3 linked regions of the Arabidopsis thaliana genome follow. The protein of the gene in region 2 interacts with the protein of the main gene of each other region in a biochemical or structural test. Each region holds a gene or a part of one and is shown on either strand. Other genes may lie near its edges. The genes, in order: ABI1, OST1 and ABI2.

Region 1 (3,833 bases), 3.0 Mb from region 2:
CTAGTGTTCATATTTGTCTCGGCTTTCTTCTCAGTTTATCTAAAAGAAATAGCTTTCAATAAAAAATCAATGTTTTTTCTACTTTTGTAATAATTTGTAAAAAAAAAACGGTAGATGATTGGTACATTGTATTTGAGGTGTCTTGGGTATTTTGTCTCTTGCCCATCATCCAAAGCCCACTTTCACACATCTCCCATATGAATAACATATCATTACACATTGTCCAAAGAAAACCGCACAAGTGGCATCAAACATATGGAACATGAATAAATACTTCTTTTTTATCTATCTGTTGACGAATAAATATTTATTGAGATATTAGAGAAAATAGAATAATAATGAGGAGAGGAAAAAAGAGAGTTTAAAGACAAGATATTTACGGAATTTAATGGGACGAAAGAAAAATAATATAAAAGGGGGACCTGTCTTTGTCAGTGCAATGAACCTTTTTTTCTTTCGATCAAATCTCTCCCGCCACCCAACTAACACATCTTAAACCGTACACGTCACCCTCTCTCCTTCCCATTTTCTTCGTCTACGTGTCGACCATCCACCGGTTTTTGTTTTCTGCTAAACGTGGGACCTATTCACATTTTTATTTTATTTTAAAAAATTGGACGGATTCTTTCATGTTCTTTGGGTCGTTGCATAATTATGTCCATGAGTCTATCCATCAAAATACCTTCGGAATCATCTTTTTATTTTATATATATACTGCGACAACAATAATTTTATGTTTTGTACTGTCTTTTCTGGTCAATAAAAAAAACTAAAAATTTGGTCGAATTTAATGGACTTCCATGACCAACTCTTCATTTCCCTTAAGGATAAATTGAGAAGAAAATTATATACTGGAATTTGAAAAAGCTTTATATAATTGTAACGTATTTTTATAATTGCACGACAAATCTCTTTTCTTGATTTTTTGTATGAAACTACAAAGACCAATTTTTCTAACAACTAAGATTCAGTTATTATTTTTGGTCACATAAATAAATGAGACGATAACTTCATAATGGTTTTGGTTTTGAGTTTGACCAAAAATGGTTTTCAAGATAAATAATTAGATGAATAATGAAACGTACCCCTTAAATAACAATTATTTAGATATTTTACCGGTGGTCTTTCATTTTTCCCGAATATAAAACATTGAATTCTTATCTAAAGGACAAAGTATTGTTCTTATTCTGAAAATGACACAAATTTAAAATTTTTATTTAAATCTATGAATATCTAAATGGTATATTATGTTTGGTGTTTTTTAGTCCAATGATTAGGAATTACGAATAATGTTTTCGTAATTCAAACTCTATTTATTTAGATTGAAAACTATATGACAAATAAAATAATTGCAAAACAATACAAGATTTAACTCGGACTACGACACGTCATTTAATGAAAGTCATCTTTATGAAAATATAAAATCCATTAAACTGATGACCTAACTAAAGTTAAAAGCAAACATATTTTATTTTGTTTGACAAACAAAAAAGAAATATATTTCTCCCAAAGAAAAAAAAAACCAAAAAACTTTATGTTTGTTAAAAAAATAAGAAATGATAAAAGCATTTTTTTTAAAAAAAATGTTGAATATAGGAAGTCTGAAGCAAGTGTCTTTTTATGAATTAAATAGTTTAAAATTTCAAGAACGAAACATCTCCCCTTATTACAAAAAATAAATAAGCCAAAAAAAGTATCACTTTAATAATGTAATAAAATAAAGTGATATGTATATAAGTATACATACATAAATAGTAGATTCGAAGCAATTGTTGCATTAGCCTACCCATTTCCTCCTTCTTTCTCTCTTCTATCTGTGAACAAGGCACATTAGAACTCTTCTTTTCAACTTTTTTAGGTGTATATAGATGAATCTAGAAATAGTTTTATAGTTGGAAATTAATTGAAGAGAGAGAGATATTACTACACCAATCTTTTCAAGAGGTCCTAACGAATTACCCACAATCCAGGAAACCCTTATTGAAATTCAATTCATTTCTTTCTTTCTGTGTTTGTGATTTTCCCGGGAAATATTTTTGGGTATATGTCTCTCTGTTTTTGCTTTCCTTTTTCATAGGAGTCATGTGTTTCTTCTTGTCTTCCTAGCTTCTTCTAATAAAGTCCTTCTCTTGTGAAAATCTCTCGAATTTTCATTTTTGTTCCATTGGAGCTATCTTATAGATCACAACCAGAGAAAAAGATCAAATCTTTACCGTTAATGGAGGAAGTATCTCCGGCGATCGCAGGTCCTTTCAGGCCATTCTCCGAAACCCAGATGGATTTCACCGGGATCAGATTGGGTAAAGGTTACTGCAATAACCAATACTCAAATCAAGATTCCGAGAACGGAGATCTAATGGTTTCGTTACCGGAGACTTCATCATGCTCTGTTTCTGGGTCACATGGTTCTGAATCTAGGAAAGTTTTGATTTCTCGGATCAATTCTCCTAATTTAAACATGAAGGAATCAGCAGCTGCTGATATAGTCGTCGTTGATATCTCCGCCGGAGATGAGATCAACGGCTCAGATATTACTAGCGAGAAGAAGATGATCAGCAGAACAGAGAGTAGGAGTTTGTTTGAATTCAAGAGTGTGCCTTTGTATGGTTTTACTTCGATTTGTGGAAGAAGACCTGAGATGGAAGATGCTGTTTCGACTATACCAAGATTCCTTCAATCTTCCTCTGGTTCGATGTTAGATGGTCGGTTTGATCCTCAATCCGCCGCTCATTTCTTCGGTGTTTACGACGGCCATGGCGGTTCTCAGGTAAAAGATTGGATCTTTTGATTAGGGTTGTTTACAGTTTGCAGAATCTGATTTGGTTGTTGTTGTGTAGGTAGCGAACTATTGTAGAGAGAGGATGCATTTGGCTTTGGCGGAGGAGATAGCTAAGGAGAAACCGATGCTCTGCGATGGTGATACGTGGCTGGAGAAGTGGAAGAAAGCTCTTTTCAACTCGTTCCTGAGAGTTGACTCGGAGATTGAGTCAGTTGCGCCGGAGACGGTTGGGTCAACGTCGGTGGTTGCCGTTGTTTTCCCGTCTCACATCTTCGTCGCTAACTGCGGTGACTCTAGAGCCGTTCTTTGCCGCGGCAAAACTGCACTTCCATTATCCGTTGACCATAAAGTAAGCATATATAGACTCAAGATCTATAGTTGGATTGGTTGTGAACTTGTGATAGGTTTTTAGTTTTCAAGATGTTGAGTTAGAGAGGTTTATGAAACCATTTCTGATGTGTGCTTGTGTTATGTGTGTAGCCGGATAGAGAAGATGAAGCTGCGAGGATTGAAGCCGCAGGAGGGAAAGTGATTCAGTGGAATGGAGCTCGTGTTTTCGGTGTTCTCGCCATGTCGAGATCCATTGGTAAGCTTTCATTATATTTCTCCATAAAGCTTCTCAATGGTTCTTGAAATAGAAGAAACCTTTCTTCTTACAAACATTTATCATTGTGACAGGCGATAGATACTTGAAACCATCCATCATTCCTGATCCGGAAGTGACGGCTGTGAAGAGAGTAAAAGAAGATGATTGTCTGATTTTGGCGAGTGACGGGGTTTGGGATGTAATGACGGATGAAGAAGCGTGTGAGATGGCAAGGAAGCGGATTCTCTTGTGGCACAAGAAAAACGCGGTGGCTGGGGATGCATCGTTGCTCGCGGATGAGCGGAGAAAGGAAGGGAAAGATCCTGCGGCGATGTCCGCGGCTGAGTATTTGTCAAAGCTGGCGATACAGAGAGGAAGCAAAGACAACATAAGTGTGGTGGTGGTTGATTTGAAGCCTCGGAGGAAACTCAAGAGCAAACCCTTGAACTGAGGCAGAGAGGGTCCTTT
Region 2 (3,833 bases):
GAAAAAAAAGAAGAACATTAGGATGCATTTGACTAATTCAACCAAAACTCAAGAATTATCAGTTTACAAATCAGACTCTTAATAGCTTTCTTCACCAAAATTCTTGAAGAGCCAAGATTGTTTTATTTGTGTGAGCTTTCATCAAGAGAAAGCATGTTTCCCCTATCTATAATCAGAGGATAAAAATACAAAGATTGTTCTTTCTATAAGATATGGTTATCATACTAGTTTGGGAACTATGAAAATGGAGTACCTTTCCATCATATTCTTTCTTTAGTAAAACCTCAGGAGCGATGTAAGCAGGAGTTCCAACAGTTGATTTTGGTTGCGAATGTAACACTGATGACTGAAAAAGAAAACACAAAGCTTAGAGATACTAACTAACTCAGAGTTTCTGAAATGTTTTCAAAGATACCTTAGAATATCCGAAATCACATATCTTTAGACGAGGGGCCGGGCTACCATCTAATAACGTATTCTCGAGCTTTAAGTCTCGGTGACATACTTGCTACAACATAAAATTTAACTTCTTAAGTCAGCTGAATTTCACAGAGGATGAAGCATTGATTTGATAGAGAGCATTTTTCATTACCATAGCATGACAGTAACTAACTCCTGAAATGAGTTGCTGGAAGAAAAACCTCGCCTACATGATAGTAAACGATATATTAGCCTCAGCATTTTGAATCTTCGATTAATCATCAAAGCAAGAAAAAAAAGAGAGAACAACCTCGTCTTCGCTGAAGCGGCCTGCATTGCAGATTCGCTCGAAAAGTTCTCCTCCAGATGCATATTCCATAACAATGGCTAAATGGGTTGGTGTTAATATAACCTGAAGCAATCCTAAGGATTAAATTATAGAATTCCTTTTTTTTCCTGAAAATGTTAATAATAAGAAAACAGCTTAAAAGAGAGTTGAAAACAAACCTCTTTGAATCTAACGATATTGGGATGTCTTAAGGACCTGTGGTTGATTATCTCCCTTTTTACATTTTCATCTATCTGTACAAATACAAAAAGTCCCACCATTAATACCACGTTCCATAACAAAAGAAACACCTAGAGCCTTTAAAACAACACTATACAACATAAGTCATAAAGCAAAGCAGAGCAAATTTGGTCTTCCATAAAAATCAATCAATTTTGTAAATCTATAGGGTTAAACCATTCATAACCATAAAGTAACCAAACACACATCTCTCATTGGATGATGAACACACAAAAATGATTTCTTTTGAATTCAAGAACCTAGTGAATTGAAACATAAAATAAAATTGGACTAAGGAGAAAAAACAAGAAGAAAATAAACTGACCTTCTCACCTCTCTCGATATATTTAACAGCAACAAGCTCATTACTTTGCTTGTCTCTCATCAATCTCGCAACTCCAAAATTACCGGAGCCAATATCCTTGACGAGTTCATACCTATCACTATCGTGCATAATCGGCAAATCCATTGGACCACTCACTGCTGGTCGATCCATTTTCTCCCCCTCTTTCCTCTGTCTCTTTGCGACTTCAATCTCTGTGTCAAGAAGATTTCTTTTTTGGGAGACAATATCTAACGACACCAAGACATCAGAGGAAATGAACAACGGTGTGACGTGGATGAATTTGAGCCTTTAAGATGAGAAAAGGAGTATTGGGTGATCAAGTTATGGTTGTGAGAAAGAGACGTTTTCAGAGACCCGTGAAGTATCTAACCAACAACACAAGTGGGTTTCTTGAGATCCTTTTTGTTCCTTTGATCGCTCTCGATGAAGAAGAAGAAGAAGAAGGAAGGCTCGTGATCTTGAACTCTGTTTCTCTCTCTCTGTCTCTCTCTCTATCAGCTTTCCTTTTCTCTGTCAATATAAAAAGGAAACAGCTTTCTCTGTTCTGTTTAAACCACAGCTTGAAGTAAGCTATACAAAACAGAAAGATGAGAGAGATAGAAGAAGTTTTCGCTTTTTCTGTGAACTGTTGAATTGTGATTTGTCAAAGCATGGGAGATAGTTTGAAATGACGGATTTACCCTTTCTACTTACAACGTTCTGACAAACAATGGGGCCTGTAGTTTTTAGAAATGTTTTTTTTTACCGTGACTAGTATAGAAAATAATATTTTAATTAGTATAAACTTTCTTTTTATTGGCAAAGTATTAGTATAAACTATGTGATTTGTTACTCTTTATTTTTCAGTAAGTTTTATCTCTCCATAATATTATGCATTAATTTTTTCCGATTTATTATATGTCTTATTGTAAATAGTATAGCAAAAAATATGAAAATATTAATTGATTAAATTTATGCCTAGAACAGTTACTAAAAATATCTAAGTTTTCAAAAATATAGCACTAGAATGGTATGAGATTTAAAATAACAGATTTTGAATTGATTTTATATCCCAATTTAATTTAATCAAACACAGTGAAAAATGAAATAGAAATAATTTAAATTAACAATTAGTTTTTCTGTTAGTGGATCTATATATTAATATCGTAATATGTCCCTTACATATGTACATTTTTGGCTACTGGATTAATTTTGCCCCTTAAATATGTCCTGAAACGGAGCTGATGAAACATATACTCGCATTAAACAAGCTTATGGCTAATCATGGGAACCTCCATGTATTAATGACCACTAAAAAGATTTACTTTCTATTTCGGTATATAAAAAGGGTTTCCGCATTTAAAAACGGAAAATAAAAGAAAAACAAGTTACCACAAATGTCGAGATATTGTTGGCTAGCTTGTCAGATCTTCACCTAAAAGCTGAAACCGATAGAGTTGCACTCATCATCACTATAGCCCATCATTTTTACTATCTAAAGTTTTTGTTTATGCGCATCCACATGACGATTTTGCTGCAAACTTTTTTTTTAATCATCTTTTAAAAACATATATCCGTACTTAATATTCCCAATACACTCTTCTAGAGCTCGATCATTCCATGGACGTGAACATTTTGTCTTTGTTTCTCTTCCCTTTAGTCAAACAAACATTTTGTCCTTGTTTCAAACTAAAATCGATTTCTTCTAAATAAAGGAAATTCATTGACTAAACGAATGATTTTAGTGAATGAATGAAAATTTCTCATTGTGAAGCCTCTGTTTCTCTATTTACTTTTTTACTATTTAGAGTACCTTTCACCGAAATTTTCAATCAATTCCTTTCAATTTTACTACATGTTCAAGCATTCGAACAAAAGCAATCGTTGCAAAAAAGACTAGATCGGAATGCCTTCTACCCAAAAGAGAGAACTCAATGCAAACTGTTTATGAAATTTTTGAAAAAAAAAACTGGATTCATTCCGGTTGTTGCGAGTACCAACCAATGGAGAAAGATTGACCTTAGTTATTGTAGTTATCAAGGCCAAGGTCTCTCAGTGCATCAGTTGCAGCGGCTCTGCATGTCTCATTGTTGGCTTTAGCAGTTCTTATCAGCTTCTCGATTCCATTAGCAAGCAGAATAGTTCTGTAGTGTGCATGCAGACAGAACTTGATATTATAAAAGAGTTTGCGATATGTGCATATTGTTGGATGACAAGAATTGGAAACAGAGCAAAAACCTGTTCTCTGCACTTCTGACAGCAATGTTCCGTATCATGTTGCAAGCGTTTCTCTGCATTTGAGCAGCTACTGGGAACCTCTTCATTGCTTGGACCGCTAGATCACCAGCTCCAGCTTCTATAGCCTTGGCTGCGTGGTCTGGTGATCTCAGACAGATTATAGAGATTATCAACATCACCTGAACCAATCAAGTATATCTTGGATCAACCACAAGGATTATGCACTCAGACCCTAATGCTACAAGAAACATTCTTCACACGACATTACGTTCTATCTAGTGG
Region 3 (3,600 bases), on a different chromosome or scaffold from region 2:
GATCCGGAATTACTGACGGTTTAAGGTATCTATCGCCTGTTCGCGACGGGTTGTAATGTAAGGAAACAACTAAAAGAACCAAATTCATGGATCATTATCAAGAGAAAGTTAAATAATTACCAATGGATCTTGACATTGCGAGAACACCAAATACACGAGCCCCGTTCCACCGGATTACTTTCCCACCGGCAGCTTCTATCCTCGCCGCTTCATCATCCCTATCCGGCTACACATAAATGTAGACCCAAACGCTATAAGTACATTAACTAATCTATAGAAACATGCTATGATTGGTAACACCATAACAAAAAACCGCAAGTCCTAATGAATATATGATTGTACTAATTCATTCATAGAAACATCTATACTTACTTTGTGATCAACCGACAACGCGAGTGGCGTTTTGCCGCGACACAAAACCGCCCTAGAGTCGCCGCAATTCGCGACAAAGATGTGAGTCGGAAAGACAACCGCAACCACCGAGGTAGACCCAACAGTTTCCGGAGCATGAGCCACAGTTTCAATCTCCGAGTCAACTCTCATAAAAGAGTTGAACAAAGCCTTCTTCCACTTCTCTTGCCACGTGTCACCGTCACAAAACTCCGGTTTCTCCTTCACTATCTCCTCCGTCAAAGCCAGATGCATCCTCTCACGACAATAATTCGCTACCTAAACACACAAAAACAAATGTCAAAAACCAAGTTTTTGCAGTTTCCGATCATATCATATCGAAACCAAATCGATTCATTACCTGAGAACCGCCATGGCCATCGTAAACACCAAAGAAATGAGCACTCAAGTGAGGATTAAATCCATTAGTGACTCGACCATCAAGCAACGAACTAGAAGAAACTTGAAGGAATCTAGGAATCGTTGAGACAGAATCTTCCATCTCTGGTCGTCTACCACAAATCGAAGTCACTCCATATAAAGGAACACACTTGAACTCAAACAGACTTCTACTCTCTGTTCTACTAAGTACTTTCTTCTCACTCTGATTCATCGATCTCGGATCAAACTCATCTGAACCGTTGATTTCATCTCCGGCGGAGATATCCACACCTGCCATAGCAGATGATGATGATGTCAATGAATCTTGTCTTGTATTGATCTCAAAGGAAGAATCTTTCATAGCTCCGTCGCCAGAACAAGAACTTTCCGGTAAAGTAACCCTAGATTCACCGTTGCAATAGCCTCTAAGTCCGGCGTGAGGGTCAGTGAATGGTCTGAATGGAACAGCGACTGCAGGAGAAACTTCGTCCATTAAAGGAGGAAAAAAAAAGAAAAAAGAACTTTCTTGAACTTTAACAAAAACCCAAATCAGGAATCAAAGTTGGGAAGAGAAAGGAGAGAAATTGAAGTTGGATATCTAAGTATTCAAAGAGACAGATGTTAGATTGTTAAAACGCTTGGGTGTAAGAGAAAAGAACGAAAAGTCAGACAGATTTGAACATAATAAAAATTGATGAGAGTGTTGTTAACTTTATTAGATGAAGATGAAGACAAGAAACTCATGACTCATTAGAGGAAAGTGAAGACAACCTTAGCTAGCACATGAAACAGATAGAGAGAGATTTGTCAATTAAAGAACCAAACACACACAAAAAAGAAAAAGCAAACGTTTTCCCGAGGAAAAAAGGACTAAAATCAGAGTTTCCTGGATTCTGGGCAATTCGTTTCAGCCATTTAGAGATTCTGAACTCTCTCTCTCCCTCAATTAATTTCCAACCAAAAAAACTTTTTTTTCTCTTTCTTTCTCACAAACAAATAGTTTAGGGGATAATCAGTTTTAAAGAGAGAGGTCTTTATTTATTAAAAAAAATAGCACAATGTGAGATGTTTTAGTGAACAACAAAGTAATTAGAAAGACTTAAGGAATTGTGGAAACAAAAACAAAGGGTATTTATTTTATTTTGACTTGATTAAATTTTATTTCTTATTCTATTTACTATCGTGTCACCCCTCCATTATTATTGGGTATCTTTATAGAAGTTTTGAATACAGATGTTTTATACGTTTCCTATTTTACCAAAATATCTTGCATTAAACGTTATGAAATTAGATTTAAGATAAATCCAAACTTTTTACATAATGAGTAATTTACTTATTTCACATAAAAATAATATCTCTTAGGAATTGCTCTTTTCTTTTGAGCTTTAATCAAAATTGGTCGACAAAAAACGTAATTTACTTATTTTATACAAAAACAAATTTCTTTTATTTTATTTTTTGTTTAGTGTAACATGCCATATGTCACAAAAATATATTTTATAGTAAAAGATGAAAACACCAAAAAATATACAAATTATGATACAATTTTTATTAGTTTAGTAGAAAATATATTCATCTACACTGACCACACTAGTACATTAATGCTACTAATAAAAATGAGGTACTATAATAATTACAAAATTTACTGACTAGAGAGCTTGCTCTGATATTTTTGGTTCTAGAGTTCAAAATAAAATAATGACAATCGGGTGGATACCAAAAACAGAAAGGAGGAGAATCAAACTCGAGAAGGCAAGAAGTGTTGTGTTGTCAACAGATGATTCTTTTTACTTCCAAAACAATATTGAAGAAAAAAACAATATTGAAGAAAAATAAAATCATTTTCGAAATAACAATCAAATGGGTCCCATTATTGTCGGAAAACAGACCGGATGATCGCCACGTAGACAGAGAGAAAGTCATTAGATTTGGTGAAGAGGATGGCGTGTACGGTGAGAGATCTGTTAGTTGGGATGGCGGGAAAAGATGAGCCGAAGAGGTTCATTGCACTGACATAGACAACACCTCTCTTTTAACTTCCGTAAATATCTTTGTGTTTCCTTTTTTATTTGGTGTCTGTTTTATTTATTTACTTGTTTTTAAACAAAAATAATAATACGTGTTCCATAATCATTGGACCATGTAATGATATGTGAAGTGAAAGTAGCTTTGGTTGGGCAACAAATACACTGAACCAATCGTATAGTTATATAACTAAAAACGTATATATGAATTTCTGTTTTTATTTATTTATTTACGATTTCATGAATATTTTTTATTCACTGGATATGAGTCATGTGACCTTGATTTTATTTTTATTTTTGAGATATACGTAGATAGATAGACGCATGCAATTTCTTTAAAGTTAATTCATTTTTTTTAGGATCTCTCGCAGCTGTCAGATAAAGTAAAATATCTTTCGATATAAAATAAAAAACAAAACCAGCTCATATTGTATAGTATACTATGTGTCACATATTTTGAGATGATCAGTTGCTACACGGATCTGTTAAAACTTAAAAGGTAGTATTGAATAAAGTGGCGGTCACATAGAAGTACAACTAATATCTATTTGTTAAATTTTGTCAATATGATATCAAATACAAAATGATAATAAGAAAATTATATAAAATTAGACCATATTCTTAAATTTTTATACATAAAGCTAAAACATCTAAACTTCATTACAAGGTAAGAGAAATTTGACGAATCTGGAAGTTATTACTGAGTTATTTTCGCTCGAAATAGTAAGTTACCAACTTACCATTTTTGTGAAGCTGCAAAAATAGTGAGACGTGAATCACCTATTGGACTGGGCTAGGCCCATCG

Evidence for each region.
Region 1: the proteins of OST1 (region 2) and ABI1 form a complex in vitro, tested with the Arabidopsis thaliana proteins (5 studies listed by BioGRID, with this or other methods).
Region 3: of the proteins of OST1 (region 2) and ABI2, one has a biochemical effect on the other in vitro, tested with the Arabidopsis thaliana proteins (4 studies listed by BioGRID, with this or other methods).

The regions. Positions count from the first base shown.
Region 1 is NC_003075.7:13,220,214-13,224,046, reverse strand, and holds the start of ABI1 (Protein phosphatase 2C family protein), read left to right. Parts: upstream 1-1,670; 5' UTR 1,671-2,218; coding exon 2,219-2,767; intron 2,768-2,837; coding exon 2,838-3,128; intron 3,129-3,259; coding exon 3,260-3,365; intron 3,366-3,457; coding exon 3,458-3,816; 3' UTR 3,817-3,833. UniProt on the Arabidopsis thaliana protein: Key component and repressor of the abscisic acid (ABA) signaling pathway that regulates numerous ABA responses, such as stomatal closure, osmotic water permeability of the plasma membrane (Pos), drought-induced resistance and rhizogenesis, response to glucose, high light stress, seed germination and inhibition of vegetative growth.
Region 2 is NC_003075.7:16,270,015-16,273,847, reverse strand, and holds the start of OST1 (Protein kinase superfamily protein), read right to left. Parts: upstream 2,104-3,833; 5' UTR 1,485-2,103; coding exon 1,314-1,484; intron 1,003-1,313; coding exon 928-1,002; intron 833-927; coding exon 731-832; intron 647-730; coding exon 593-646; intron 509-592; coding exon 416-508; intron 347-415; coding exon 254-346; intron 1-253. Other genes in the region: AT4G33945 (ARM repeat superfamily protein), read right to left, coding at 3,334-3,457, 3,552-3,730.
Region 3 is NC_003076.8:23,085,384-23,088,983, reverse strand, and holds the start of ABI2 (Protein phosphatase 2C family protein), read right to left. Parts: upstream 1,863-3,600; 5' UTR 1,265-1,862; coding exon 752-1,264; intron 670-751; coding exon 373-669; intron 227-372; coding exon 121-226; coding exon of another isoform or gene 98-120; exon of another isoform or gene 37-97; coding exon 1-36. UniProt on the Arabidopsis thaliana protein: Repressor of the abscisic acid (ABA) signaling pathway that regulates numerous ABA responses, such as stomatal closure, osmotic water permeability of the plasma membrane (Pos), high light stress, response to glucose, seed germination and inhibition of vegetative growth.